Linked DNA regions of Arabidopsis thaliana. Each later gene encodes a partner of the first gene's protein in a complex. Each region holds a gene or a part of one and is shown on either strand. Other genes may lie near its edges.

Region 1 (15,262 bases):
TAAATCAAAATCTCCTAACACTAAAATCCGCTATTTCTTTTTTCAAAATCTACACTAAAGTTCAATTCTAAACTAAAAAGAACGTTTGAATGGCTTGTCAAATCCGTTTCTGTAGTAAATTGAATCATTTATATTTTTGATATTTATATAAATATTACTTTTAGATTCATGTAATATATAGTTGTGGTAGTAGTTTATTAGACTCCCAATCCAAAACTAGGCTATCATAACATTGAGAATATTGTCCAATCAATCATTTTTTTTTGTCGAGTTCAATCCGTTGCTACCTTTTTCATTGTTTTGAATGTATTTTCTCGATTTAAATTCTATGTTTTCCAAATAGTTATACTTAAGTATGGGTTCCTTGAAATATTACTTCCATTGATAGAGATAATATCTTTAGTTTCCGGTGGAAGTCTTGCACAATTATTAGTTATGGATCTAAACCATATCCCTTTCTTTTAAATATCGTATTCAAGTCCCATTAATTAGACTTTTTGATTAAACCAATTGTTCAAAATTTGCTCTCTAATATGGCTAACATCATTAAACAAAATATGAGTAAGGCTTTTAAACGCTATAATGAAATATATTTCGAGTACATAATATTTGAACCTTGTAGCTATTTTACAAAAACATCTTATCTATGTAGACTTTGAACTTCATTTCTAATAATTTGGCTTCAAATTTGAATATAATTTTAAATTTTAATCCATAAGTTTATAAGCTGAAGTTGATATCACTACTTGCATTAACTTTGTATATATATTTCTAAAAATTGATTGAAAAGATAAATTTTAACGTATTTTGTTTATTAACTTATTAAGCGGTTAAAAAAATTAATTTATTTCTGAAGTTAATTTTCTAATATTTATTTTACTTACGTTGGATTTTCAATCACCTATAAATAATTTACATAGCTTCATGTCTAGAATATCAAATAAATAAAAACATAGTCCATTACATTCTTTTCATACACTAAGAATAAGTCGATAAATTCCAAGCATACAAAAAAATATGGCTAAGCTAAGCTCCCATGTTATTGCGCTATTCATTGTTGTAGCTTTGGTGTATGCGTTTGTTCCTGTATTTTCTGTCAAAGAAGCTGAAACAAAATCATTATGGAACACTTGTCTAGTTAAAATCACTCCTAAATGTGCATTAAATATAATTTATGTTGTTTTTGGAAATGGAACCCTCATTGAGTCTTGTTGCCACGACCTTGTCCAAGAAGGAAAAATGTGCCATGATAATCTCATTAAATATATTGCTGATAGACGAAGTTTAATTGGCCGTGAAGCACAATACTTGAAGAAGAGGGATGACGTGTGGAGTCACTGTGTCTCAATTTCTAAAACTGCTTAAAATATGTGTGTTTTTAATACTATTTTGATCGAATATATTTATATTTTGTCTTTGTTACATTTTCGTTATCATAAATTTATTTTTATGTACTAAATTTAATAAAAAAATAAATTAAAGCAATCTGTCGTAAGATGAATAAAAATTCATTTTTTTATTTCAAAAACAGAAAAAGGAACTTATTCAAAATAATTCAAAAATTATAATGTAAAAATAGCGTAAGAACACTGTTATTTATGTTTCTATGTTTTGAAATTCGGCTAACTTTATAATCCAATCAAGGTAATTACAGAAAGAATTATTATTTGTTCATTTCAAGCAAAAAAAAATTAACTTCTTTGAAAAATATTTTTTTACTCTTTTATCACAAAAGTCCTTAAATCAAAATCTCCTAACACTAAAATCCGCTTTTTCTTTTTTCAAAACCTACACTAAAGTTCATTAGACTCCCAACCCAAAACTGGTAGTAGTTTCTTCCCCCAATAGGCTGATATCTTGGCTTCCCGCGGAACTGCAATGCATACATCTATCATGTCTGATGCTAACCCAAGACTAGAAACCAACTTTTATATTATTGTAACTCAGCCGATATATTATCTGGAGACAAATATAACTTAATTAATTATGTCCATCAATCCATGCAATTTTCACTTAAGGTATTATCAACTTTAATTTTCATCATCCTAGATGCGAAAGATAACATAGAAAGCCCTTCTCTACATCTCTCCTAGATTGGTTGATTTGCAGCATCTAACATATCATAAAAGCGTTGCGCATCTACATTGGATTCTTCACTAATATTTTCAGCAAATGTATATAATTTGTGAATTTTACACAAATCACTTAAAATACTAGATTGAATACACCCAAGACTAGAAACCAACTTTTGTATTTTATAGTAACTCAGCCGATATATTATTTGGAGGCAAATATTACTTAATTAATTATGTCCATGAATCCATGCAATTTTCACTTAAGGTATTATCATCTTTAATTTACATTATCCTAGATACTAGACTAAATACACCCCTCTAATAAACTTTAAATATTAACTTGTCCTAAACGTTTTACATAAATATAACTATACTTAATTCTCGTTCATCTTCGATACTAATGATTTTTTCCATTATAATCTTTATTTATGGATCTGACTATTTATAAGTTTTGTTGACATCTATAATTTAGAGTTATCTTGACAAAGCAAAAGGAAAAAAGACAAAAAAAAATCGACAAAATACAAAAACAAAAACATATTTGAACAAGTTCCTACTTTTTTGGGTATATCCAACAAAACTAACAAAAACCAAACAACCCAATTATATGTTAATTTATCAAATAGATTTTGACATATATCAAAAACTTTTAATCTATTTAGTATATATATTAACCAATAAAAAATGAGTGTTGAAGTTTATAAAAAAAAATCTAAGTTATTAAACATTAATTTAATTGGATAAAGTTTTTATTTACGGTTGCATTGTAATTTTATTCGTAAGTGAAAAAAAAACACACAAGAAAAAACAAAGAGCTTAAATGAATGAATTTAAGATTACTTATGATCTTAGTATATTTTCTTAATATGTTCTACTTTATATAGAAAATATTTTAAATAATTTTGGTTTCCAAAAACAAATTTGGACTAATCATAATTGCAATAAAATTAATTTGCATGATGAGAACAAACTCGGTAGCGAGTTGAACTAAATTTCATATGTCAAAAGTGGCCTAGGGTCGAGCATAAGCTGGCGTGCCGGCTTGCCACCATCAATAAAAATGTGAGGAAAATTATTGATATATACATATTTGTATTACCATTAGCATTCATACACATATCAAATGCATTCATAATCAAAATTCTCATATTAACCAAAACAATCTCTCTCGGCAACTCAAATGGATTCAGATTCGGAGTCCAAGCTCATATCACTCCTTACTGAATTATTGTCTCTCAACATGCATTATGCCAATCTATTATGGTAAATTCTACTCATGTATGCAATGTGAGTTCATTCTACACGAAACATATGCAAAACTTTCTCGCAAACTATATCACCCGATACATCCACATATGCTCACTTTGTTGGGAGGATATGATGGTGTTGTGGACTTTCTTGTGGATAATTGTTCAGTTTGTTCTTGGTTGTGCAAAGTTGGTTTCTTCTATGAGTGTGGTAAAGAAGGATGTGATTTTCAGCTACATGTGCAGTGCGCCACAATTTCCGAGCCATTAGTCAATGGAGGTCATATGCATCCTTTATTCCTAACATCCAAACCAGGAGAGCAACGGAGAATTTGTTCGATTTGCAAAGATTTTAATTATTGTCGCACAAATGAAACATTCAATTGCCTTGAGTGTGACTTTTCTTTGTGTTTTGAATGTGTTAGTTTACCTCAAAAGGTGAGGTACAAGCATGATAAGCATATGCTCAATCTTTCTTATGGAGAGGAAACAAGTACCATGACATATTGGTGTGAAGTTTGTGAGAGAAAATTAGATCCAAAAGAGCGGTTTTATACTTGTGATGAGAACTGTTGTGTATCCCTACACATTATATGTCTGCTTGGATGGGACTTATACATGAAGCCCGCTTCATCGTGGATCTTCTACGGTAAAAAGGTAGATGTTCTGCCCAACAATCAACATATGTCTCGACCTATATGCTCCTTTTGCAAGAATCGATGTCCATACAAAACATTTTTAATACGGCTTGGATTTAGATTTTGTTCCACACGTTGTCTTAGTAGAAACTGATGGACTTTGCTCTTTGTTGTAAGAAATATAATTGAACAATTGTATTTTGTTGTACTGCTTTAGACAACACATTTTGTCTATACAAATGCATAGCCTATGATCATAAATCAATATTGATCCACCTGGATTCAACAAGCCAGCACAAACGCAGATTGCATCTACCTTTTCCCTACTGTGGTCTTCTTTTAAGCTTCTTACAATCATCTTGTCTGACGTAATACGCTGTTACCGCCTTCAGCTTCCCATTTAAATAGTTCTTTTCTACCTGAAAACATTTGAGTTCGCCTATTAGAACAAGTGTTACTAAGAGACAAGAAAATTTTGCAAGGTTTGTTTCCATTGTGATAAGCAAATAACCAAATTTTTTCAACAATGTAACAGAAAACAAATCACCGGTTTTATTTGATGGAAAGTCATCATGAATAAGCATCAGAATCTATCCAATTTCTTGGAATTCCTTTCTAGATTCCAAAGAATATGCTCATATATATAATCGACCATATAGGAAAGTGATAAGAAAAAAACACTTGCCTCTAGTGACCATGGAGGAGACGTTGATAAGGCAAGCTCTGCTAGTTGGTTAATGTCAACATTTCTTGGAAGAAACATAATGATTGTTGACGCAATGTTCATGGCCGCCTTAAATAGAGCATCTCTGCATCATTCAAGAACAGTAAGGATATATTTCTTATCATGGAAAGAGAGTAAGAGTTATATGAGCATCTCTGCAACACGAGAGACATACCCGTCACGAGGTCTCAACATTGTCTTCATATCATACGTGCTCGCTTTAAGATAATCAGGGCCTCCCCAAGGAGGCGATAGGAATACAGTGCCTGCCTGCACAATTGAATTCTTTTCAATGGCTACTCTATGACCAGAAAATTTGAGAAGAGTTGAATTAAAAAACCTTCAAGTTATGTGCGAGGTCAAAGAAGTCTCCCTTCACAAAGTCGATTTTATCAGCAACACCATATATGGCAGCATTATGCTTTGCTAAATCAAGTTTCTTTGGATCCAAATCAATTGCAATCACATAGTGACTCCTAAAAAAGCAAAACACAGCAGAAAATAAGTCAGGGAAATTGCCCAAAATGTGCAAAACGCTACTTCCATTAGTTAAACTAGATCCTGCTACCGTGTGAATTACTACTAAGAACTACAAAACATCAGTACAAGAAGTGTATGTCCACTCACCTTGATGCGAACTGGATAGCATTTCCACCAACTCCTGTAAAACAGTCAATGACTATGCCTTCATTACAGCGTGTGGCATGATGTTTAGCTATAAGTTCAGGAGTGACAGAAAACCATCCTTCCTCATCCATCTTGATGCCTTCATCAAATCTGGAGAAGAGGAGGTATCTTTGGCACCAATACTTGCCAAGGATTGGAGAATATTCTTCAGGAACACCTTTCATTTCAGTCCCTGTTTACAGAAGAATCTAAAAGGTTTTAACGACGGAACAACTGCAGCTGTGAAAATTCAAAACTACATATATGCAATAAGTGTTGCAAACCTGTGTACGAATTGAGTAATTTCTTTTTGGCTCGAGATCTTCTAGACTCTTTCTTAGCCTTTCTAACGGAACTGACAACATATGCACCGGTTCCCTCTTCACCAAGACTAGTAATATCCAAAGATTGATTTCCAATGGAAGTTTCTTGGTATGTATCAATCAAACTGGAAACAAGAAAAATGTTAGAAGACTGTTGTTAAAGAGGCTCAACAACACAGAAAATCAAAGGTTAAACTTTTTAAGCATACCGGTAGTTTCAAAATTATGGCATTTAATATTGTAACATAGCTAAATGTTCGAGGTTATACGGCTTTATATCAATAGCTTCAAACAAGACCATTACAGACACTCTAAACGTTTAAAGTTGTGCCAAAACAACTCTGCTTGTAGTCATATCAAGTATTGGCACACAAGGTTGCTAATCAGTGCTTAGTTAACACATATTAATGAGATCAACATAGTTCTGATCAATGACTATTTATATTGCAGAAGATAAGGTTGTTAATTCTTTTGTTAAAAGTTGGTTTAACTTAGTTTGGGTCCAACAACCTAACGCCATTATAATACAACCAGAAGGAAGAAAAACCACATATTGTTGAATTTTAATACCTGTTAACTTCCTCTGTGGCTTCTGCTTCAAGTTGACTTTGACAAACTCCACCAAGATCGTCAGCTTTGTCAAAGGGAACATCATCGCCAAGCACAGTTCCAGACAAGTCATCATGATGCTTCTTTGTTGTCGTTTAATACCAAAAAGAAAAGAACCAATAACACAGTAAATAAACAAAATCAACTAAAATTTGACAAGAAAGATAGAAAAGGCAGAGATCAATCTCAATCACCTCTATGACCAATTCACTCAAGTTGTGACTTTCATCGCTATAAGCTAGATGCTCCATCCCAAGTGGCGGCTCCCATTTTGACTCTTGTGTCTTAAAATTGTAAAAATAACTTCGTCCATAGAACGAATCCCAGTAGACCTTCCATACACTAGAGTCATGAGAATCTATTGTCTCTGATGCCAACACTGAGTCTCCATCTCCATTTCCCAAAAAACAGCTCCCCACAACAACTTCATGATTTTCTTCTTCCACTTCAATTACTTGTACACAATCTTCCTCAAAACACGGACTCTCAACCTCCTCATTCAAAGCAGACACCAAATTCAAAGTGTCTTCTACTTTGAGAATAACATTAACCTCTTCGTCTAATCGATCCTTGAATCCTTTCTTTTGATAGCCTCTAGTTCTGTTCTTCCACTACACAAGTTGTTGAATTCTCAGAGAATGTAATAAACTAACTAAAACCCATGAATGTTGATAAGAAAAGGTACCTGCTTGTTTGTTCGAAAGGAAACCGGAAGACCAAGATCATTCATCTCTTTCATCAATCCATTGTCTATAACAAAATTCAAATTCAACAACTTTCAAGTTCTTTAGCAGAAAAAAGTTAAAAAATCAAAACTTTGAAGATATAACCTAAAAAGTAAAGACGTACTGGCAATTCCATAAGTATCATCAACACTCTTGTTCTGCATTCAACAAAAAGAACCAAAATTGGAATCGAAATCACAGAAACATAATACAGAGTTATAAAGAACACACTTACACCACTGTGTTGATGGAAGAGAGGAGTATCTGTATCGACCCTGAGGAATTGAAACAGAGGAGAATCAGAAGTCAACAAAAGAGCTTAATCTTATTTTTTAAAAGTCAAAAAGGATTATTTATTACCATAGATGGATTTGAGTAAGCTTGAAGAGAGAACCCAGAGCTTCAATAGCTTCACCTTCTGCTTCTTCTACTTCGCCTCTGACCTTTCCCATTCTTTCAGGAGTATGAATCAAAACCCCCCATAGACCCCTCTTCTTATATGGGAATTTGGTATTTGAACCGACGCCGTTTTTAGTAGTTTTTGTCGTTTGGTATATAAACCGAGCCAAACCGAAATTTGTCTAGTTTGATTTGGATTGGTTAATTAGATATCGGCAAGAAGAAGCATAGATTTTGATAAACGGTCCGGTTCGGAACTACCAAACCGAAATTATCGAAATTTTATTTTAAAGTTGACCGAAATGTACCTAAACATACCAAATTTAACAGAAACTGAACCGAATTTGGTTTCCATTCCAAAATCAGCACTATAAAACTAAAATCAATCAAAATTAATTGGTTTGATTATGTTCGGTTTGGAACTATCAAACTAAAATTAACGAAAATTTATTTTAAAAACCATCAAAAATGTACCAAATTAAACCGAAATTGTTAAATTAATAACCGACTCGATTACAAATCGGCACTATTTATACCATAAACTGAACCAAATTTCGGTCTGATGAGGTGAAGTTGATTTCAAACCGAACATTGAAATATCAAAATTTCGAACCAAACCGGACCGGCTTAGTTCTAAGAAAACGGTAAAAATATCAAAAAAAAGCCTGAACTTTCAAATTTGGGATGAAAAAAGCATGAACTTTGTAAATGTCGTATTAATCATGAAGTTTTAGTTAATTTCTCAAAAAAAATAGCTAAGTTTCGTTGACCGAGCCGTTAAAGGCTTGCCGTTAAATTTTCGTTAACAGAGTTATCACTCCGTTAGAAATTTAAAACGACGTCGTTTTAAATTTTAAAATTAAACAGAAAAAATGAACCTTGCCAAGATTGGAACCGTTACCATGAGAAACTCATTACGAGATTATAAACCATTGACCCACAATTACATTTTGTCAAAGTGACAAACACTAATGTATATATATACTCAACTATTCGTCTTCTCATTCATCTCCTCTATCCCTAGAATCGGAGTTCTCTCCGTAAACAGGATTCCATCGGCGTTTTGGTTTCGTTCCATTAGACAGATATCGGAGTGAGCGATTTTTGTTTTATTGATCTTTGTTGTGGTTTGAGCATTAACCAGCTCTTAGGTATCAAAACTGTAATTTTGTTCATCTTCTCAAACCTTTTTAATAATTTGGTTTCAAAATTGAGGGAATTGAGAAAAAATACATATAGATCCATTAGATCACAATCTAAAGCTCATGTTCGACGAAGATAACACAGATCTGAATCGCAAATCTCACAATCAACATAAAAATTGAAATGCGATTGGGTTTTGTGAACTTGAGAAAAATACAAAGCTATGGCACGCAACAATAGAGTTTTGTTAGTTTCTGTTAATTATGTAATATTAAATATAAACTTTTGTTATTTGATACGAAGATGTTATTTTGTCTAAATGGTTTGGATGTTTGTAAAAGTATTCTCATGTCTCATGTTTGAGCTCAGGTGGTAGTCATTTTTTCTGTTTAATTTTAAATTTTAAAACGACGTCGTTTTGGGTTTCTAACGAAATGATAACTCTGTTATTATTCTGTTAACGGAAATTTAACGGCATGTCTTTAACGGGCCAGTCAACGAAAGTTAGCTTTTTTTCTGAGAAGTCAATCAAAACTTCATAATTAATATGACATTTTCAAAGTTCATGCCTTTTCTATCCAAATTTGAAAGCTCAGGCTTTTTTTTTTGTTGACATTTTTCCCCTTTTAAAACCCTCTCTCCGAGCTCGGCGAGATCAGAGGAAGTAAATTATGCAATCGGAGATGGCGATAGACACGGTGGCCACGGCGGAGAAATCACCACTAGAGCTACTTCAACAAACCAAAGCCTCCGTCGAAGCAATCATAGCAAAGATGCTCTCCATCAAGCAACAAGGAACCCCTAAATCCGAGAATCGAGAACTCCTCACTCAGATGTTTCTCAACTTCATCAATCTTCGTCAAGCGAATCGCTCGATTCTTATAGAAGAAGAGAAAGTGAGAACAGAAACGGAAATAGCAAAATCTCCGGTGGATTTCACGACGTTGGAGCTTCACAATCTCATGTATGAGAAGAGTCATTACCTCAAAGCTAATAAAGCTAGTAGAGATTTCAAATCTAGGTATCCAAACATCGATCTCATATCCGAACAAGACTTCTTCAGTGATGCTCCCGAAGCAATCAAATCTCAAACGTTATCAAATGATAGTTCTCATGATTTGATGCTTAAAAGACTCAATTTTGAGCTTCATCAGGTAAATTTCATTTCAAAGTTCATGTCTTTAAGGTCTTGTAGTAGCTTGATTCAATGTGATTCAATGTTAAGCTTTATACATCTCTGTCTCGAATCGTTAGACCAAGTTCATGTGTTAGATATTGTTGGAGTTTTTATTCAAAAGTGATTGAATGTTTAAGTTTGTTATACACAGAGGAAAGAGCTATGCAAGCTTAGAGTGAGGTTGGAGCAACAGAAGAAGAGTTTACTTGAAAGTAATGCGGAGAGGAACAAGTTTCTGTCAAGTCTTCCAGTGCATCTCAAATCTCTAAAGAAAGCATCTTTGCCAGTACAGAGCCAGTTGAGTTTGCAGAATCAGAAGAAGCTGAAGTATCATAATCTAGCTGAGCTTCTTCCTCCGCCGCTTTATGTTATATATTCGCAGTTCATGGCACTGAAGGAAGCTTTCGAAGAGAATATCGATGTTGAGGTATCTGGGAGTCTTAAGGATGCTCAAACTTATGCGCGGCAGCAAGCAGAACAGAACTCAGGTTAGCAATTCTCACACCTTTAGTTAAAATAAGAATTGAAAATGGAATAGTTATGTGCTCGTTAAAATGACATGTATGTTCAATAATACAGAGAGTCTAAGATTAGAGGTTGGTGTTGATGAAGAAAGGCAAAGGAAACGACTCAAGAAAGTGGGTTCTGATGAGGGAGGAGTATATCAAGTTCATCCTCTTAAAGTTGTCCTTCATGTTTATGATGACGAGATTACAGATCCGAAATCTCATGAACTTGTCATGCTCAAGTTTGAGTACTTGTTGAAGTTGAATGTTGTATGTGTTGGCATTGAAGAGTCTGAGGATGGACTTGAGAAAAATATACTATGTAACTTATTTCCAGACGATTCTGGACTTGAGCCTCCTCATCAGGTACATGTGGTTTTCCTTTTTGATATTCATTCACATATGTTTGCTTGAAAACAGTCATACTCACTTCCTTTACGGTTATACAGTCAGCCAAGCTCATTCTTGGCAACGATCATGTGTTTGATAAAAGCAGAACTTCGAGGCCATATAAGTGGGCACAACATTTGGCGGGGATTGAGACTTTACCTGAAATGTCACCATTTTTTACTGACAAGGATATTCAATATAGTGATACAGCTAAAGGCTATGCTTCTGCTTCTGATCACCGCAATGTGCAAACCGTTCTGCAAAGAATACGGTCCCAGAAAAAGACTAAGCTAACGCTTGTGTGAGTCACACCACTCAGTATGTTTTTTCCCATCTTTTGACAGTAGTAGAAGTTTTTCATATTTGTAAGTCAGTTAGTTCTTGGTATCTGAAACAAACATAATGATGAGGGAGGACTATATCAAATTCATCATCTCAAAGAGTTGTCCTTCATGTTTATGATGAAACAAACATAATGAGAAGAGTGACTTTGACATCTGCGTCTAGGTTAAGCTTTAGCAATATCTAAGCAAAGAGATTCTGATGATCCTGTATATATGTATAGAGAGAGAGGTTACAATTTGATAAAAGATGAGAACACAGTTCAACTAAACATTATAATTAGAATGATTTATCTATAGAAACCAAGTATGAGCATGATCTATATTTGACAGTATCTTCCACAGCTTTTATGTTGGCTTCCTTGAAGATTCATTATCTCCATCTCCTGTTGTATAAACCCACCAAAAAACGATGGAGTTAATAAGCTGTAAGCGTTGAAGTTGCGTACAATAAGATTGGTGAGAGCAGTTTTGGTGTCAAACAAAGTGCACTTTAGAGGGTAAGAGCGGATTTCTTGGTGTCAAACAAAGCTTAAATCATAGATCTATGAACTCATTACGAGCAGATCTTTACCCAAAGACATTCTAAATGGGGAGGATTCAATTCTCAGGTTGCAGGTAATTTCCACCAGTAGAAACTACGACAGGTTTAAGTCGCATAAGCCGTTTAAATAAAGTTTTGTATGGTAGAAAAATAGTGTAAGATGGAATAAGAGCTACCTGATTCTTCTGTAATTCCTACATATTGCCTGCAAAACACGAGAAGAGATACACTCTAAAACTAACAGAGATGAATGTAACATATGAGCAGATGTCTTTGTGGTCGGTCATTACCGGCTTCCTTAGTAACTTTTCCTCTCTTCTTTCTATCTTTGCAACTTCAGCTTCAAGCTCCACCATATAGCCTACAAAGCAAAACAAGAGTACTAAAAACATTACATGAACTTCTTTAACCACTGAGCCACCTCAGGTACATTCCAATGGTCGGCCATGAACATATCACATATAAATTAAATTCAGTTCACTAGGAAACTTACTACACTTTGAGCGACTAAACCAGGTCGACAAAAAAATTTCGGAGCTGGTTGAAACCCAAATAAAATGCATTAACCTAACAAGATATAAATGACAGTGCGAGAGAACCCCGAGTTTGATTCACGGAATGCCAACTTGGCCAGTTTACAAACGAAAATTGTTGGATACAAATAACATAGGCCCTGCTCAATGAAAGCAGATGGTATTTTGATAAATAACAGATGTGGCTCTGATCAGATTCCGGCAACTATAATACAATAACTAATCCTTATCTCCTGAACGCAAGCTAAAGAATTGGATCAAATACTTTTCACCGCTCTAGTCTCTCCTGAGATATCCATTTATCATCCTGGACAAGTACGTTTAAGGTACTGATGCTTTCAGAGGAAATAAAAACACAACTACCTTTGACAAGGAAATGGGAGGAACATATTCAAGGGTGCATTAAACGCATCTTCCACTTCCTCAGGAAAAGGTGTTTTTTGTCAGTAAGAATTCCTGTGACAGAAATTACACTAGAGAGATGCTGCATTAGAGAACCAAGGGCAGATAAGAAAGTAACACTCTCCAGAAAAGGATAGTTATGCTTATGCATCTCTCTGTCACTTGATAAAAGGAATAGATAGCTTGACATACAACAGAAAACCTTTGGCATAGAGCTTACAACAAGAGAAATGCAAGATGCATGATTTTACGGCATGAAGTTAACTCCTATCGAATTTCATTTATAGATATTGCATTAGATTCAGCAGGAAATCTGACTTACAAAAGCAACGAAGAATCACACTAAACTCATACAGTAGATTCAAACAGATCTCAATATTATGCTTGTAGTACTGCAGGTATAATGCTTCAATTGTATACAAAACAACAGGGCATTTGGTCTAGTGGTATGATTCTCGCTTTGGGTGCGAGAGGTCCCGAGTTCGATTCTCGGAATGCCCCACTGCATTTTTGAGTACATTGGTCTAAATTTCATCAGGATTGAATAATAGTAACATACAATCCACCTTTGCACTAAATGCTTAAATTCAGTCAACTAACAGAATTAGATCTACAGCGTTTCATTTCTACTTAACAAAATAACATTTAATAACAGATTTACGCAAATGTATGGTTCCAGCTTCATCAAGTATAAACCCCTAAACAAAAAGATTCACGACAGCATCATCTAGTGGTATAATTCCTGCTTTGGCTTCGAGAGGTTCCAATATCTATAATTGGAATGCCACATCTACTCTTCCAAACTATACGTTCTAATTTCTACCTGAAATTTTGCTTAGAGATCAATTTTCCTTAGTCCTTCAAAAACTGAGGAACATATATTTCACTTTTAGTCAGCAAGAGAAATCATTAACAAAAACTCCCCCAAACTTTCATTATTAAGTGCCTTCTGCATACTAGAAAAACATACCGAGGTTTTAAGTCCAATCAATAAATCTTCATAACCAGTAAACTTCATCTAGGGAGGACCGACACATATTGGAAGCAGCAGGATTCACAAAGAGTGAGCTGCAGAAAGAAAAGGAAATGGATTGTGACTACATCCAACCAAGAAGCAACAATTCCTCTTCAACAAATGAGAGAGTGTAAATGGAATGCATCAACAAAACAAGATATAAAACAGGGCATTTGGTCTAGTGGTTTGATTTTCGCTTAAGGTGCGAGAGGTCCCGAGTTCAATTCTCAGAATGCCCCGTTGACTTCTTCAGAAACTTTTGTTTTAAAATCTTGCTGAAAATTGTTATAACTATCAAATATCAATCTACCCTTTCGTGTTTGTTATTTCATTGGTCAGATCAACAAACACACAGAAAGTCTTTAACAACACCCTATTTCACTAAGACTTTCAATATCAAGTGTTCCAAGGCAAACCAAAGAATAAATTAACTGTCACGTACCTTTACTCATGTCTGACAACGTCTCTGAAATTAATCAAGGAACTTCAGCAATTGAACATTAAAGACCCCTTGCATTTTAGCAAGAGTAGATTAGAGACGCCAGTAGTTGCAGATAAACATTTAAACAAACAAAAGACCAGATCCTTATCATTTTAACTGAAAGGTATCATGACTTCAGTTCTTGACGATTTTTGAGACTAACACCAAAATTTTGCTTTCACATCCATTGACTTTGATCTCTTCAACCGCAGATTCAATCTGAAAACATGAGATAGTACTTAAACTAGCTTTGAACCGCTAAATTCGCCAAAACCGAACCACATCAATAGGGAAAGTATGACACGTAAATTTCAATGACAATTTTTTTTGCAGGAATTTGAGAATCAAGAACAGGCCGAGCAGCAAATTGAAACCTTTTTAAACAATCTTCAAAAGCACATGTATTTATTCTGGTCAGAATTCTTGCATGTAAATTTGTAATTGGTGCCTGATTTGTGTTACATCACATTCAGCATTTCGACTATGTGTATCTACCTAAAGCTTCACCAAAATTATTTGCGTATTGCCTAAGGTAGTCAATAATCAAGAACTTGGTATAGTAGCAGCATGATCAAGTCTAACAATAAGATAAAAAGAGATCATGATGAATTAAAAATGTAGGATGCAAAGACTATCCACATCTAATGATTTTTCCGCAGATCAATATATTTCTAGTCTATTTCCATACAGCGTACATTGCAAACCATTGTACTGAACTGAAAGAGATCACATAGAATATAGATCTTGGAATATCCTATCAAAACTAAATTATTAAGTAAAAGTCAACTTAGAGCAAGAGACCACAGTATGACCAAATATGGTGATCTTCAATGTTTAAACTAAATTGCTTAGCAACAGGGCATTTGGTCTAGTGGTATGATTCTCGCTTTGGGTGCGAGAGGTCCCGAGTTCGATTCTCGGAATGCCCCGTTGACTTTTTTGGATGTCTGATCTAAATACTAGCTGAGAACTATCGTGGCACAAACATGTTCTTTATTGCATTTACCTTCAATTTTCAGCAAGGTAACATGAGACAACTATTTCCCATTACGTCTGTTTGGTACTAGAGTTTAACAAATAGAATGAGAATCTCACTGTACCTTTCCTTTGACGTCCAGTGACTCGCATTATGCAGAAAAAATCAGTTTCCCGATAACGGAATGAACAAAGAACGCCACTAGCTGAACGCTACCAGTTTCTTCAAGAGACACTTGCAGGAAATGAAAAAAAAAAAAAAAAAACAGCCTTAGACTGGTATCCAAGTTTTAACAAGAGTTGTGCATTGAATGATTTATATCAACAACAGGGCATTTGGTCTAGTGGT
Region 2 (16,421 bases), on another chromosome or scaffold:
TGAAATGATTTAGTAGTAAGGATAAGTTGATTATTTGTAATAAAATAAAAATGTTTGGGACGACAAACAAAAAAAAAAGATCCGAATTTAATAAACTTTCCAAATTTCAAACATTCATTGAGCTTTTTCAACCGACATGATTTAATTAGGGAAGTACTTTAGATCCTGATAATGATGAAATTCCAAATCTTCTAATAATATACACAAATCTACTTTTTTGGTATCTATAATATCTATTTTCCGGTTTGTAAAGTATAGAAACATAATGGAAATTAATACTCATCCGACTTATAGTTTGATTCAATCCGACTTATAGTTTGATTCAGTCATGGTTTTTGACTGGCAATTTTTTGTCAAGACATATATACAAGATATATATATATATATATATATATATTTATTTATGTAGCACATAAAGAATTACATTATCTTCTAAGTGATTGATTTGGAGATACGATATTTTAAAAAATCACATTATCTTCTATTTGATTCTCACATCGGTCTATGAATACGGTTTTGATTATGCTCGAGTATTTGATGTGTACTCCTACATTTTTAAGATTAACAATACATATTTTTTTAAGTTTAACAATACATATGCTTAAACAACAGACAAATCAAAAATTTTCTTTAGTATAATTTATAACTAAAATACATTTTTTCGACATCAATAGCTATTTTAAGTCAACTCCCCCTATTGTAGTAAAATCTGTGGGGTTTTCACACAATCAATCATGTGAAGATTTGAATGTTATACAAAAGGAATATTAAACTTTGAAATAAATAAAACCAAATGGAACGGGAAGAATGGGTCGTGAGCGTGACACTGTTTACTGTCAGTAAAAGCAATGCCATGCATTGGTCCTCTCAAGCTTTCCCCCTGACTCCTTCGCAAATTTTTAGCATATCTTAGGCATTAATTTTGAAGTTTACATATAGAAAAATATATATATATCTTCTACCAAATTTATTTTGCTAGTACCAGAATATGATTCTCTTTTCGATAATTTTTTTCTTCTTCAGATTTTCGTAGTTTATATTATAAAGAGGATAAATTCAATTACATGGTCATGTGATGTAACTAAATATTTTAAGCAGGAAGTAGTAAGTGGAATATTAATCTAGAAGATTGTCACATAACAAAACAAATGACCCTGAAGGTAAGTTTTAACTTAAGCTCATCGAGATTTACGCTAGAGAAAGTGAGAAACAACCAATTTGCGAAATGGTTTGAAAGGTTTCTATATATATATATATATATATGTATAGAGAGATCTTCTGTGTTTTGAATAATTAATCAACTCATAATCATTTGAAATAAACGAAGACAGTAGAGAAGATTGAAACTTTGGGAGATGATCGAATGACTACGTTTTCCTTTTATGAGACGATAAAGCCTTATCACAAGCCGTCGTGCCAAGCATTATAAACAAATGTACAATATACCAGATTGTGTGTTCATCGGAATTGTGTGGTATAGAGAGAGAATATACAATTATATATTTCCCTTAAGATCTTTCTAAATGAAAGATTACTAACCATGGAAGTGAGATTGTCTTTTTTCGTTTGTTCAATTTATATGGTTTCTCTAGTTTATGACTTGGTTATATAAAAAATATGATTCACTGTTAACCCTCAAACGTATCAAGTTCCCGAGGTTCTTCATCTTGTTACTTGTATACTGTATTATTGGATAAAACTCTTCCTCCTGTTTAATTTACACCAACATTTCTATAGTCGGTTTTTCTTTGTATTTTTTAAAAAGAAAATCCTAAATTAGAAAAATATCAGAAAACTTTATAAGTCTTTTTCTGTGTTGCAATTTCCATGACGTTATTACTAGTAAGAGATCATAATTTTCAAATGAAAACCCAACACAGTTATATATTTCCAGACATTTTTCTGAAACTTTCAGAATCATTATTGGTAGATGCATAGGTGTAAAGATTTTAGAGATTTCAGAGTTAGATATTTAAACTTTTTTTGTGGATTAACAAATATGCATGGATTGTTTTAACCAAATATCATGATTGGTTGTCACTAATTGTAATAGATTTATATCAAAATTTATTTTACCAAAATTCTATGTATAAGATATATTTTACCAAATTCTCTGTATAAGAGATATTGTATATTTATGCTTTTTTAGAAATGATTACAATATTTTGTTTTTCCTAGCTGTCCTAATTAACATATCATATTCTCCAGTTTTAGGTATGTTTTAATTTGTTTATAAGGATGATTCTTTCTACATGACCATTTTGTATAGAGTATCAATCAATTATTTCAATTCAGAATAATGTTTTTTGTCGAGAATAGGTGAGAGAAATTTTACTGGCATTTGCAATTTCCCTTCTAATATCCTATTTTGTATATTTTATCCATGGTTATGTCTCACGAAATTTGGGTTGTGACATGATTTGCATAATAATCTTTGCTACACATGAGATTTGCTAAAAGAAAAATCAAAGGTTGTTGTTGTTTTGATCGTTGGGTTTGGGTTTGTGTTTTTTTGTTGTTTCATAAATTTGTAAAATTTTTTGGATATGCATAGTACTAGATATTAACCCGCGGGCCTATATTTTTATTAAATAAAAAATAATTGAATATTTTTTATGATGATTTAATAAATTTATGCTATTGTTTGATTTAAATGTATAATTCACCGCGAGAAGAAATTTTATAACTCAAATTTTAAAGTTTTAAGTTGTATTTGTTTATTTTGTTAAATGTTTAATATTTTATAATTGTATTTTGATTGTTGTTTCTCGGATTTCACCCGTAGTACACCATCCCATATTAATATCGAATCAAACCCGTCAATTCTAAGATTTCACCCGTGGTAGTATTTAATTGTATAATTATATTTTAATTGTCATTCTAGGATTTCACTCCTAATTCTATCGCAAATTATTATCAACCCAAACCAGTCAATTCTAAAATATCACCCGTAGTACACCATCCCATATTGATATCAAATCAAGCCCGTCAATTCTAGGATTTCACCCGTGATAGTATTTAGTTGTATAATTATATTTTAATTGTCATTCTAGGATTTCACTCCTAATTCTATCGCAAATTATTATCAACCCAAACCAGTCAATTCTAAAATATCACCCGTAGTACACTATCCCATATTAATATCGATTCAAACTCGTCAATTCTAGGATTTCACTCGTGGTAGTATTTAATTGTATAATTATATTTTAATTGTCATTCTAGGATTTAACTCCTAGTTCTATCGTAAATTCTTATCAACCTAAACAGTCAATTCTAAAATTTCACCCGTAGTATAAAGTTTAAATATTTATAATGTTTAAATTTCTAATATAAGAATCAAAATTTTTTTAAAAAAAATTAAAGTTTTAAGTTTTTTTTTTAATATTGTTAATTTTGTTTAGTGTTTAAGATTATATAATTATATTATGATTGTTATTATATGTTTTTTCCATAGCATACTATCCCATGTTATTATCCACTCAAATCCGTCACACCATATAACCCCGTCCCGTGAAATTAAACACAAATTTGTCATTTTATTATAAATTTCAAATATTTATAAAATTAGAAACTTTCAAAATGATTAATATTGATCCAAATTTCATCATTGAATTTTGAGTGTTATATCTAAGATTTCTCTAGCAGTATATCGTCCCGTATTAATATCTTTTATATTGTTTAAATTTCTTGTAATATTTAATTTATAATTTTTTAAACTTTTTAACGTTTCAATTTTTTAAAATAAATAACCCTAGTAAACAAACCATTTTAATTTTGGACACCTCATAAATCAAGTTTCATGCTCATTCGTAATCGAAATCATTTTGGTCCTTTTTATAGTATGGCTCTTGACCATTGTCCAATTTTTTTAAGCGATGTGGAACATTCTAAAATCGTAATTATTATCCACCCAAACCCGTCCTACCATATAACCCAGTCCCGTAAAATTAAACATAATTTTGTCATTTTCTTATAAATTTCAATATTATAAAATTTGAAACTTAAAAAAATACAATATCGACCCAAAATTCATCATTGAATTTTGATTGTTATATTTAAGATTTTTCCTGTAATATATCGTCTCGTATTAATATATTTTTTATATATTTATAATATTTAAATTTCTTGTAAAATTCAATTTATAATTTTAAAAACTTATACTTTAAAACTTTATAAGTTTTAAAATTATAAATATTTCAAGCATTTTTTAAAGATAAACTTTATAAAAAGATTTTAAAATTATAATATTTAACTTTTGATAAAGTTATAATATTTATAATTTCTTGAAATATTTTAAAGTTTCAATTCTTTAAAATAAAAAATCCGAGTAAAATCGGATAACTATTTTAATTTTGGACGCCTGATAAATCAAGCTTTCTGCTCATTCGTAATCAGAATCATTTTGGTCCTTTTATAATATGGGTCTGAACCATTGTCCAATTTTTCTAAGCGATGTGGGACATTGTACATATATTATTTCTTCATAGGTTGAATAATATATGTCCGTTTTAAAAAATTTAAATTACATCATATTCAGAAAAATATAATATTTTATTAACTATATATATTTTATATAAATTCAAAATAAATAAAGTATAAGATCAAATAAAAATGAAAGAAGATTTATATATTTATGTTTAAATTAGGTAGAAATATTTTAGGAAATTAGTTAAGGTAAATAAAAAATATGGTTAGTTTAGAGATATTGTTTATATTAAATTTGGTAAGTAAATCATTAATTTTCGTTTTTAATTATTAGGTTTTAGGTAACTTTTCCAAAAATTAATGTTATCCAAGATCAGAACAGAATTAAACATGTTATCCAGGATCCGAACAGAGTTAAACCGGGTAAAACCCACCCATTTGAATTAATTGTTGAATTATGGTTCAAATCTTCAACATTATCTTCAAAAATCCCCTCCAAAAATGTATATATAGATTAAGAAAGTTGTGCTTCATGAGTAAAAACATAGAATTTCATATCTTAATATTAAGATATATTTGTTAGAATTAGAGAATTTATAATAACTAAACTATTTGAATAATTTTTTTTTTGAATAGAATTTAAAAGCTTACAACCCAATAACAATGTATTTTACTAAAACTTTAAAAGAATCCATGAATTATTGACAATAAAATCTGAAAATTAGAAAAATTCATCTACCAATAACCACTCTAAAACATTTGTCAAACATAAAACACATTGGGTCATTATTTACTGACCATAAAAACAATACAATAAAATTCTAAAAGTGCAATGTTTACTTAAAACTTTTAATTTGGGCTTTTACCAAATACTTCCAAGTTCCAAGAACCAATCACAAAGCATATTATTCACCGTCAAGCTCAATCAGAGAAAGATCAAAGCTTAAAACTTTTTTTCCGGAAAAGTTAAAGAGAGAAAAAAGAATCAATCTTTTTGCTTGACGATTGTTACTCTCAGTGGAAAGGTCTAGTCCCCATTCTCATTTTTTTTTGTTAAAAATCGTATCTTTGGCTTTATTTTTGGTTATCTCGTAGATTTTGCGTGAAAAGCTTTGAACTTTATGATGTTTTGATTGACCTCCATTTAGGAAAATGTAAATATCTTCAATTTCTGGGGTTTAAGTGAGATTTTACGAGTGTTCAAGTTAAGGGTTTGAATTTGGGTGAAAACACCTGGTAAGCCATTTCATTGTTTCTCAGGACGATGAATCTGTTGGCCTTCGTCGTTGGATTTGGAATCATGGGTATTGTTATGGTAGATGGGCTAGGTGTCAACTGGGGAACAATGGCTACACATAAGCTTCCACCAAAGAAAGTGGTTCAAATGCTTAAGGACAATAACATTAACAAAGTTAAGCTTTTTGATGCGGATGAGACCACTATGAGTGCACTTTCTGGCTCTGGTCTTGAAGTTATGGTTGCTATTCCTAATGATCAGCTTAAGGTTATGGGAAGTTATGACCGAGCTAAAGATTGGGTTCATAAGAATGTCACTCGTTATAACTTCAATGGTGGTGTCAATATCACGTTAGTGAGTTTCTCCCTCTGCTTGTTATATATTGGTTCTAATGTGTTCGGTTGTGAAATCAATTCTCTGAAAATGTTAATCTGGTAAGAACATTGTCAAAATGTTTATATGTCTAATCTCTTGTGGATGTGTTTTCAGGTTTGTAGCTGTTGGAAATGAGCCATTCCTCAAATCATACAATGGATCATTTATAAACCTCACATTCCCTGCACTTCAAAACATCCAAAACGCTTTGAATGAAGCTGGACTAGGAAGCTCCGTCAAAGCGACAGTCCCTTTAAACGCGGATGTCTACGATTCACCATCAAGCAACCCTGTGCCATCTGCAGGAAGATTCCGTCCTGATATCATCGGTCAAATGACTCAGATTGTTGACTTTCTTGGCAATAACAGTGCACCCATCACCATTAACATCTACCCTTTCTTAAGCCTCTATGGGAATGATGATTTTCCACTCAATTACGCCTTCTTTGATGGTGCTAAACCAGTAGATGACAATGGTATTGCTTACACAAACGTTTTCGATGCCAATTTCGACACTTTGGTATCGGCTTTGAAAGCTGTTGGTCATGGAGATATGCCAATCATCGTTGGAGAAGTCGGTTGGCCAACAGAGGGTGACAAACACGCAAATAGTGGTAAGACATCTAACATTTTCCAGTTCTTTAGATGCAATGAAATGTTTTGAAAACGTATTTTTCGCAGGCAGTGCTTACAGATTCTACAACGGTCTTTTACCAAGGCTTGGGGAAAACAGAGGCACTCCACTGAGACCAACCTACATTGAGGTATACTTGTTTGGATTACTTGATGAGGATGCGAAAAGTATAGCACCGGGAGAGTTTGAACGCCACTGGGGAATATTCAAATTCGACGGGCAACCAAAGTTTCCTATAGATCTATCAGGTCAAGGACAGAACAAGTTGTTGATTGGTGCCGAGAACGTGACGTATCAACCTAAGAAGTGGTGTATGTTTAATACAGAAGCCAAAGATTTGACAAAACTCGCTGCTAACATAGATTACGCCTGCACTTTTTCGGATTGCACTGCGCTTGGTTACGGGTCTTCTTGCAATACTCTTGATGCAAATGGGAACGCTTCATATGCGTTTAACATGTATTTTCAAGTAAAGAACCAGGATGAGGATGCTTGTATCTTCCAAGGTTTGGCCACCATTACCACAAAGAATATATCTCAGGGACAATGCAATTTCCCTATTCAGATTGTTGCTTCCACAGCTTCTTCATTTTCTTCTTCTTTGGTTTTGTTGATCGCTGGAGTTTGGTTTCTCTTATCAGGAGTGATGTTTGAGGTTTAGATTAGTGATGTTTTTGAGGACTTATTTTTGTGGATATGGAAACTATATGTTTTGTCCATGTATTAAATTGCATAATATGGTAAAATTTTACTTGGAAGAGTGAGAATCATTTAGTTATGGATCCAAATATTTGATCAATGGTGGTCATAAGAAAACAGGACTCGCAAAAAATTGAAACTCTAACGGCAGTTAATGTACGTGATCAGACTAAACCGGTCCAATGTCATTTTAATGGTTCAAATTTGATAGCAACTACGGAACCACAAACCAATTACACTTAACCAAACAACTAATTGGTCTTTAGTCAGGAGCAAGATCCTAAGAAAAACAAAGAAAAGGTTTCTTAACCTCTGCAATAATCTGACTGACACATTTCGGTACCTCTTTAGGGTATCGAGCCAAATCAAGAAACTGTAAGGAGTTTTACAATGAACTGCTACGAAATGTGCAGAGATGGCTTCCAAATTGAGAGATGACATCAACAATACCTCCATAACCTCCCACAGCAACTACCTGCAAATACAAAAGAATTGGATCAACGGTTAAACATTGAGTTTCTAGTCCAGAAGGGGTAACATATTTGCAGAATATTAGCAGTAACATAGGAAATGGGAGAAAAGCAAACACATATATAGGAAATGGGGAGAAAAGAAGGGATTGGAAACATACTCCTGCTGGATGCAAGGAAATGGAAAATACTGAACAAGGAGCACAGTGAATTTGAGAAAGCAAAGCTCCATTTAAGTCGAAACGTCTTAGAAGTGGTTCTGCTCCTACAGTCAAAATCTGATAGTGCGATACTTGTTAAAGACAACATTTTTAAAAAGATGTTTAAACTTTAGCACAGGAATTAAAACTAGGTGTTGACCTCTGTTTCTAGTTTAGAAAAGTCAGTAATTTTTTTAATAAACTTCGTTGAAGAGGGATGATTCAAAGAGATACTACATAAACCTATTAAGCCTTGATAAACAAATAACACCCACGGCCTCCCAAGGCTTTAAATTACACTGCTTAAATTTCAATCTAATCTTGTTCTGCTTACTTGCTTTTCATCAAACATCACATCCTGTACATGTGCAGGGATGGGTATTGTTTGTACGCATTCTGAGGCGGGAAGATTCCATAAAGCTAAATTTTTGCCCTGTCCACAAACCTGAAAGAGGAGAAAATCATACCAATAACAGTAAATACATGTTCAGTATTTAAACTTCTAAGTGATTCTTCAGGAGAAAGGAACTATATTCTTAGGTTACTGGAGGCAACAATCCCTTCAAACAAATAGCAGGTTGCGAAAATGTTAGATTATCTAGTTGCTTAGTTCTTACCAACCAGCTTTCACTCCCATCAAGGGCCATAGAACTAACGCGAAGGCGGGACTTTTTATCCTGGGAACCAATTACTTTAACACATTTTCCCGTTTTGCAATCTGGTTGACAAAACAGAAAGAAGCCCTTGAGCGAACAAAGCTTAGTCTAGACAACTAAAGTAAACCACATGAACCAAAACATAACATAGTGGAAAGTTCTGTAATCACCAAAATGAATCATCATAGAGTTGTAAGAAGCAGCCAACAAAACTGAGGAGCATTGGATCTTAAGTACCAACATGAAGACTCAAATGATTTCAAAAGTTCTATAACCACGTATGACCTAATACTAGAAATTACAGCATAAAGAAATATGGTCGGGAGCATGTTACCCCAGATTCTCGCAGTCCCATCCTCTGAACCCGTCAATATCTGGAGAAAGAGACTACAATCAGACAAAAATCCAAATGTGGAACTCAGATTTGGATAGGTGCATTTCTAATATTTATGGTAACATCATTACCTGACTTGCAGAACTACGAGAAACTACAGTATGCAAATAGTCTGAATGACCTTTAAAGGTCATTTTAATCTTACCACTCTCCTGAAATTGTTGGATACACATAAATGATTTTAGAAAGTTAAGATATCTGGATTCACATAGGACATACATCTATCATGGTCAAATACATACCACGTCCCAACAATATGCGCAAGAATCACCAGCTGCTGTAAATACACTTCCTGACTATCAAAACGAAAGAAGTGAGAGAGGGTGAAACAGTTATCCTGTGAGACTGTCTAACCAAGCAATGAAATTTAAATACAATTCCAACCTGAGGATCAACAGACATGGCATTGATCTCAGGCATCGGTGAAAGCGCACCCCAAGGACCTCTATAAGAAAAAGAATGGTGATTATACACACAACTATTACGAACACTGACATTTGAACCCACAATTATAGCATTTTCAGTAACAGAGTTATCAAGTAGAATAAAAAATGAACAAAACTCATACTCACTTGTGTTGTGGATTAATCAGTTCAAGCAATGGCTTCAGATGATTCTCTGTAGATCATAAGAAAAACAACCACTAAGCTCCAAAAAGCATCATTCATATCAAAAACCACAAAAATGGCACACACACACCTTTCAAATGAAGAGACACATCTGATTCAGCAAATTCTCTCCATTTCCATCCCCTAACTCTACCATCATCACCACAACTACACATAACCAGATCAAAATTTCAAACTCTCAATTACAATTCATCAAAGACTCATCAATCAACAAAGAGAGATTTAAGTCTCTACCTAAGTAGCAAAGCATCTTCGTCTTCACCATAGAACTTAACATCATAAGCAGGACCTTCGTGTGCCCTAACCACTCTCTCAGGTTCAGCCACCATAACATCTTGACCTTTCGAGTAGCCAAAACTCGCCGATTGAGACACAAGCGAGTTCAGTGAATGGAAAGCTAAAGTTCCATCGCTGGAGGCTACAACAAATGCGTCTGGATTAGAGATTCTCGCCGGAGGAGCCCAGGCGGTTCTGAAGACGGTGCGTGTCTCTATCTCTCGCTCCTTCAAAATTGATTCTCTATACTCATCTTCATTCCAGTTTGTAGCGTCTCCGTACATGGTCCTCTGCTTCTTTGCAATTCCCGGTGATACTTGCGAAACGCCAGCGATATTACCACCAGTGGTTTAGTGCAATTGACGACTGAGAGAAAGCAATCCCTAAACCGGCCGATTTAGTAATTCTGTTAATTATATTTTACTAGCTTGTTTTTTTTTTGTCGATCAAATTACTAGCTTGCTTAAATAGACGAATTGAAGAAATAAATTTAATTTTGTATCGATAATATTTGAATTCTAAATAGTAATATATACATATTTTGTAATATTTAATTTAGTAATTTTATTTAAAAACAAAATTTTAATTTTATACATTTCATTTTAATAGAAAAATAGGTAAAAAAACTCTCACATTTTTTAAAAACATGAAAAAAAATCTTACCTTTTTAAAAATAGTAAATTAACACCTAGGATATCTTATTCAAACTAACATATCCTATGTTATTCAATTATGAATTTTTAAAAGTATCATGAAATCTAATGCTATTGAATTACTGATTTTAAAATCTCCTTAAAAATCTTCTGTTATTGAAAACATTTTAAAGATTGGATTTTAGTGACTTTAAGAGACTTAAGTGGATTTTCTTAGTTAAAAATATATAATTTTAAATCTCATGGTTTTAGGTGGAATTTGAGAGGATTTTACCATAAATCATAACAACCTCCTTAAATTCATCCAAATTCTTTAAAAAATCAAAATTATATAAAAACTCAAATAACTTAAAATATAAGATCGAATACACCTCCTTAGATTCTAGTGTTATTCAATTTTTGATGATTTTAATGCAAGTGTTATTCATTTTTCTGTCAAAACCAACATTTCATTCAAATCACCAAACCGAAAGTATCAAAGGATAAACCTCCAATGTAATTGAAAAACTCAATTAATTTTGAATGCAGTATGAGTAGAGAATTTCACTTCCTCCGCGGAGATCTGTCTATTCGTTTTAGAGATTCCATAGAATTCAAGATTCAGATGCTCTATTTCGTGTTTAATGTTAATAGCACAATATGATGAAGACAAATCAATTCAAAATTTTTTGTTCCACTTCTTTTGGTCTTCCGTCTCTTCAAATTTTGACCCATATATCTCCTCATCTATATCTACCAAGAAAAAATCATAAAGAAGACTCTGTGCGTTTTTGTTACAATTAAAATCTCCACCTTTCTTTTTGGCACTTCCAGCTTTCATAAATCTCACATCTAGGGCTACATAAATCTCATTCGCAAATACTGATTCGGAAAAAAAATTGAATTCATCCAAAACAAATGAAGCCGTCCTAGACCATCTGTAAGCATCAACTTCTTAGTACTATTCACTAGAGCATATTTGTCCTCACCCAAACATAAGTTTGCCAACTTCTCGGAGATAAAAACTGACATGCATCGTTTGCAACTCATCTCGAAAAGAATCTGGTAGATTAATCAACATGAGAGATTTTTTCGGTAGTGGTATTATGTAACCGCCATCATCAAAACCCAAGCTGGTAAGTACGTCTTCATCAGAAAATTCAGGGTCCATTAATTGTTCCTTTGTTGGTTTAGGTTTCTTATTCTTTGCTGGTGCGATCTTTGGACGATAAACATTTATTCTAATACGTTTTTTACCTCGACTTTTCTTCGTCATACCAGTATTCCAAACTGTGAAGTACATAATGGCTGTTAAAAGCTAGAAAAATTGCAGTATAGGTAATGACTAATGGACCATGTAGTTTATGGTCGGCTGATTGATGAATACACATGTAAATTTTGGTATGATTGAATAAACGTTGACGTTTCTAGAAACGTATTTAGGGGGACCGCTTATGTAGTGCTTGCGTGAGACACAAACACATATGAACAAGGGAATGTGGAAGGAGAATCAAATCAAATCAAATGCCAAAACAATATTAAAAACGTATTTCGAAGATGTTCATAATTCGTTGTCCTTGCATCTTTTGTCTTTATTTAATTAACTCCAAAACCTTTAGTAATATTCGCTTTTACTTCCATTTTAATATCAATTCCTCTAGCTTACGTTTCGGTTTTACATTCGCCCTTACAAAGATTACTTTTTATTCCTTTGGTTTTTGATTGGAGGATCAATGAATGTTCTAGCTAGAGATCTTAAGTTTGGGAATCTTTCACATAGATCTAGACCTATGTTATGTATACTTAATTGTTCAAGTGGTCGTTTACGCATGCAATGACCAAACAAATAGTTTATTTCGTTTTAAGTGGGATCTCTCACTCTCAAAATTTTGTTAAGAGTCCAATTTTATTGGTTTGTACGTATATTATAGACATGTGTTATGTATATATAATTGAAAAGAGAGAATCTTGTTGCTCAAATTGACAGGAAATAAGAGTTTAATCCGGCGGAATCTTTCTATAAATTAAACGTAGCTAGTGGTCAGTGGATGATGATGATGAAATCTATGCATGCATCATCATATATAGACCCTAGCAATCCTTATATATAGACCCTAAAATCAGACAAACTGTTTCATATCATATCATCATATCATATAGTAATTTTAGGGACCGAGGCTAATATAACATCAAAATCATATGCATGCAAGAAGATGAAGCAAGTCAACTAAAGGAGGTAAGGGAATAGCAATAACGAAGGCGACAGAAGAGAGTGAGCACACATGGCTCTTTTTCTAGCATGCTCATGCTCGAAAGCTCTGCGTGCTTACTCTCTTCTTGTCTCCTGCTCTCTCCCTCTCTACGTCTATTTATCTATCTATCTATGGACTATGTGTATATAAATTAAATATATTTTATATCCACATATATATATATATATGCATCATGCATGCATGGCAGCAAACGTCTCTGTGTATGGTTAGATAGATATGACCATATCTTGTCTATCCACCTTTTGTTTTCACTAATGTTTTACCTAACGACACACAAATATCATTTTCAATCTTTACAGTAAAATAGCGTAAGTCGCCATATCCGTTGTAAATTGCCAAATAGCCGTTGTAAAGCTCAGAGTCGTACGTTTTTTCTATCAAATTACAAACACTAATCACATCAATATATATAACATAATAAAGGCTACAAAATGATCTAATTTTTGTACAAATGATGAGCTTTGAGTTACAAAGAGGAGCAAGGCACTTTAACAAAGAAAAAAATTAAGGAGCAAGACATAAGGAAGGTTTATCATCATGAGAATGAGAAGATTTCACGCATGATCGCAAAGGAACAAAGCGTGCGTATCAAGTTGCGGATAAGGGTTTGATGCCGGTCATCGGATGACCTTTAGTATTTTAAAGAGCTACATAGAAGAATTGAGAAATAGTTACTGATTTTTCGTCCTAGCAAATCTTGTTGTGGACAGAAATATATTCTTAAGTAAAAAAGTACTTTTCTTTCTCCCTTTATCTATGTTTTATCTATTTTTGTTCTTTTACCATTTCCATTATATTTATGTATCTATATTTTTTTTGTCCCCCACATTTATGCATATATCTAAAATCTACCAATAACAGTACTGTTTGAATTACTTGGTACCTTTTCATGCATGATCCATCGTCTAAGTAGCAAAAATAACAATGAACAACTGTTATCAATTAAAGCTGTTTTCTTTTTATGAACAAAAAAAATAAAAATCTAGCTCTATTATATATTTGGCTAGAAATAGAAATATATGTATGAATTGATCAATAAATCTTTAAGAAATCAATAATGACTAATATATTAGATGATTCATGAACTACTTGTCCAGAATCAGAAACTAAGTGATGGTGGTTATTTCTTTTCTTTTTTCCCTTTTTTCGTGTGTGGTATATGTGTTTTTCGTTTGATGTTATGATATTTTATGTAGTGTGTACATAATTTTGGACCTAGAATTCACATGACGTCTACATGATGCTCTAAACTTTCTATATGTAGGCTTCGCTCCAATTAAATATAAATTGTATACTAATAAACACCCAAAAACAGCTTGGGCTAAAATAAAAAAATATGATATCGTTTTCTTGACATCAAATTAAAAGTTTTGTTTGATTTGTTTCCGTTTACATTTGCATATTTAATGTTTTAAGAAATACAAAAAAATTCCGAAAGTATTATGTATATATAGCTTAGATCTACATATATGGAACAATTAACCAAAGATGGACCTCTAGCCAATATTGATCGTCTTCTATCATTTACACGTAGTGAGAGTATATATGTATTAATGTATGCTGTATTAGAATGTGTTAATAATTCTATGTAGTTAAAAAAAAAAAAGAAGTTATTTCAGTAATGTCATTGGTAACGTCTCTTTCTTCTATACGAAAGATCGATCTAAGTCTGCTGTAAATTACTGTTCGACTATATAGATTGGACTAATCATATTTATATTTGTGTGTGTATAAGAACATTGGAGAGTCGACAATCGTTAAGATCTTTAATTAGTTTAATTATGTCGTTCTCGTAAACGATCAGTGCATTATTAGTGTTTTTTTTTTATATATAATTCTTAATTATTCGGGTATATCCTCATTTGTGCTGAGCAAAAAATTAATGAAAAATCATTTAGACTGTTTTGGTCAACTTTTGGTTACATATTAGAAAACAATTGCAAACATCATTACTCAGCCAAATCAAACCGGTTTGATCGGAAATTTGGATCTGTACGTTACCGTATCAGATGATCAAATCCTAAACAACTATTATGTGCAAGAAATCGTGGAAATTCAAGACAATGTATTAAAAAAAAATTATAAAGAATTTTAATATATAGGTTGGTCTGCGACAAAAAATACTGAATAATTTCATATTTTAACCGGAACAAAATGTGACTTATCTCACAAGGCCACAACAATCTCATGCCTTTTACTAAAAGATTCAGATTGTTGCGACCACATACCACTTCAAGATTAATCTAGTACCGTAACTAAGTAATGTCATTTGTTTTTTGTTATGTCATTGTTTGCACAGAAGAAAAAACTAAATTATGTCATCTTCTGATAGAAAATGACTACTTTATTTATTCTGAAAGCTTACTGAGCTAAGTTATTTTGCTAGAACCTGTTCTAAAAAAGTCGAGGCATTTCGAATTGTTTGTTGACACGGACAAAGTCAGGGAAAAATTCAAATAAATTCAAAATTACTTCATACATAATTATTTTGCAACAAATACATAGGTTATAAGTTAGTAGGTTACATTATATTGATCACATTGCCCACATTGGTACAACTGGTCATAGTATATGATACATATTATACAACTGACAGACATAAAAATCTCTATCTAAACCGTTCAAATATCATGTAGATAGAACTAGAAAACTTCAGATAATAAAGCTGCACACTAATTATAATTAACAAATTGGCCGTCCAAAAAAATTCGAATTTGAAAAGTATTAAATGGAATATATATTCCTTTGAAGGCGATTTCCATCCCATCGATTTCTTCCTAATGTTGGCCAAACATATTTTACTATTAATTATATATCCAGGACTGCAAGATCCATATCGGTGATTACCAACAAAATTCAAAACAGATCAAATTATATCTTTTGTTTGTTCCTAAAGTCAATAGACTGATTTTATATAATCCAATCCTATGAGTCTACTTCGTATTCTCTTATATTTTTTAAGCTATGTATTTATAAACTAATACGAAAAATTTTATATTGTACTGCACTATATCACTTAAGTAAACAACATTGTTTAGAAATAATTCTTTTGAGATTTAATAATTAATAGTGGTCCATAAAAAAATAGCATTTATAAACTAATTTTAGAACGGACTATCAAAATATTATTACGCCTACACTACAATCACTTAGTTTTTGATGTTGTTATTTTGTTTATACTTTAGACTTAGAGTGTTAATTAAAGCATTTCTACAATCAAACTCATATATTTTGTTTGTTCAAGTTTATATTAAAACATATCTTAGGACTTTAATTATTGATTAAACAAACCAAAGCAACAAATAGACCGAAAGACGACCAATCATTGTTCGGCTACTAATCAAATTTTTTTTTTTTTACATTTTTAAACACTTGGTCCTAAACGACTCTTATATATATATATATAAAGAGATCAATACAATATAGTCGTGATCAGAGTAATATCCATCTCTGGAATAGCATTTCCCCACCCAAATTCAGAAACAAAACTACAAAAGTGTATCAGCCCACAAGGGTTCCTC

What was found.
Region 2: THO5 (region 1) and DWA1 share a complex: the UniProt entries of both Arabidopsis thaliana proteins name them as parts of the THO complex.

The regions. Positions count from the first base shown.
Region 1 is NC_003070.9:17,143,736-17,158,997, forward strand, and holds THO5 (THO complex, subunit 5), read left to right. Parts: upstream 1-9,160; 5' UTR 9,161-9,220; coding exon 9,221-9,703; intron 9,704-9,877; coding exon 9,878-10,214; intron 10,215-10,305; coding exon 10,306-10,598; intron 10,599-10,681; coding exon 10,682-10,927; 3' UTR 10,928-11,108; downstream 11,109-15,262. Other genes in the region: AT1G45243 (Cysteine/Histidine-rich C1 domain family protein), read left to right, coding at 3,323-4,114; AT1G45231 (S-adenosyl-L-methionine-dependent methyltransferases superfamily protein), read right to left, coding at 4,284-4,379, 4,646-4,769, 4,860-4,954, 5,025-5,160, 5,312-5,543, 5,635-5,798, 6,244-6,365, 6,477-6,893 and 4 more; AT1G45229 (uncharacterized protein), read right to left, coding at 11,702-11,868, 15,039-15,066. UniProt on the Arabidopsis thaliana protein: Acts as a component of the THO subcomplex of the TREX complex which is thought to couple mRNA transcription, processing and nuclear export.
Region 2 is NC_003071.7:8,409,075-8,425,495, reverse strand, and holds DWA1 (DWD (DDB1-binding WD40 protein) hypersensitive to ABA 1), read right to left. Parts: upstream 10,451-16,421; 5' UTR 10,280-10,450; coding exon 9,954-10,279; intron 9,867-9,953; coding exon 9,790-9,866; intron 9,709-9,789; coding exon 9,663-9,708; intron 9,536-9,662; coding exon 9,475-9,535; intron 9,387-9,474; coding exon 9,333-9,386; intron 9,243-9,332; coding exon 9,162-9,242; intron 9,071-9,161; coding exon 9,031-9,070; intron 8,759-9,030; coding exon 8,658-8,758; intron 8,486-8,657; coding exon 8,375-8,485; intron 8,119-8,374; coding exon 8,002-8,118; intron 7,846-8,001; coding exon 7,756-7,845; 3' UTR 7,502-7,755; downstream 1-7,501. Other genes in the region: AT2G19440 (O-Glycosyl hydrolases family 17 protein), read left to right, coding at 5,690-6,012, 6,152-6,651, 6,719-7,332; AT2G19420 (uncharacterized protein), read right to left, coding at 11,613-11,917, 13,164-13,274, 13,777-13,795. UniProt on the Arabidopsis thaliana protein: Acts as a component of the THO subcomplex of the TREX complex which is thought to couple mRNA transcription, processing and nuclear export.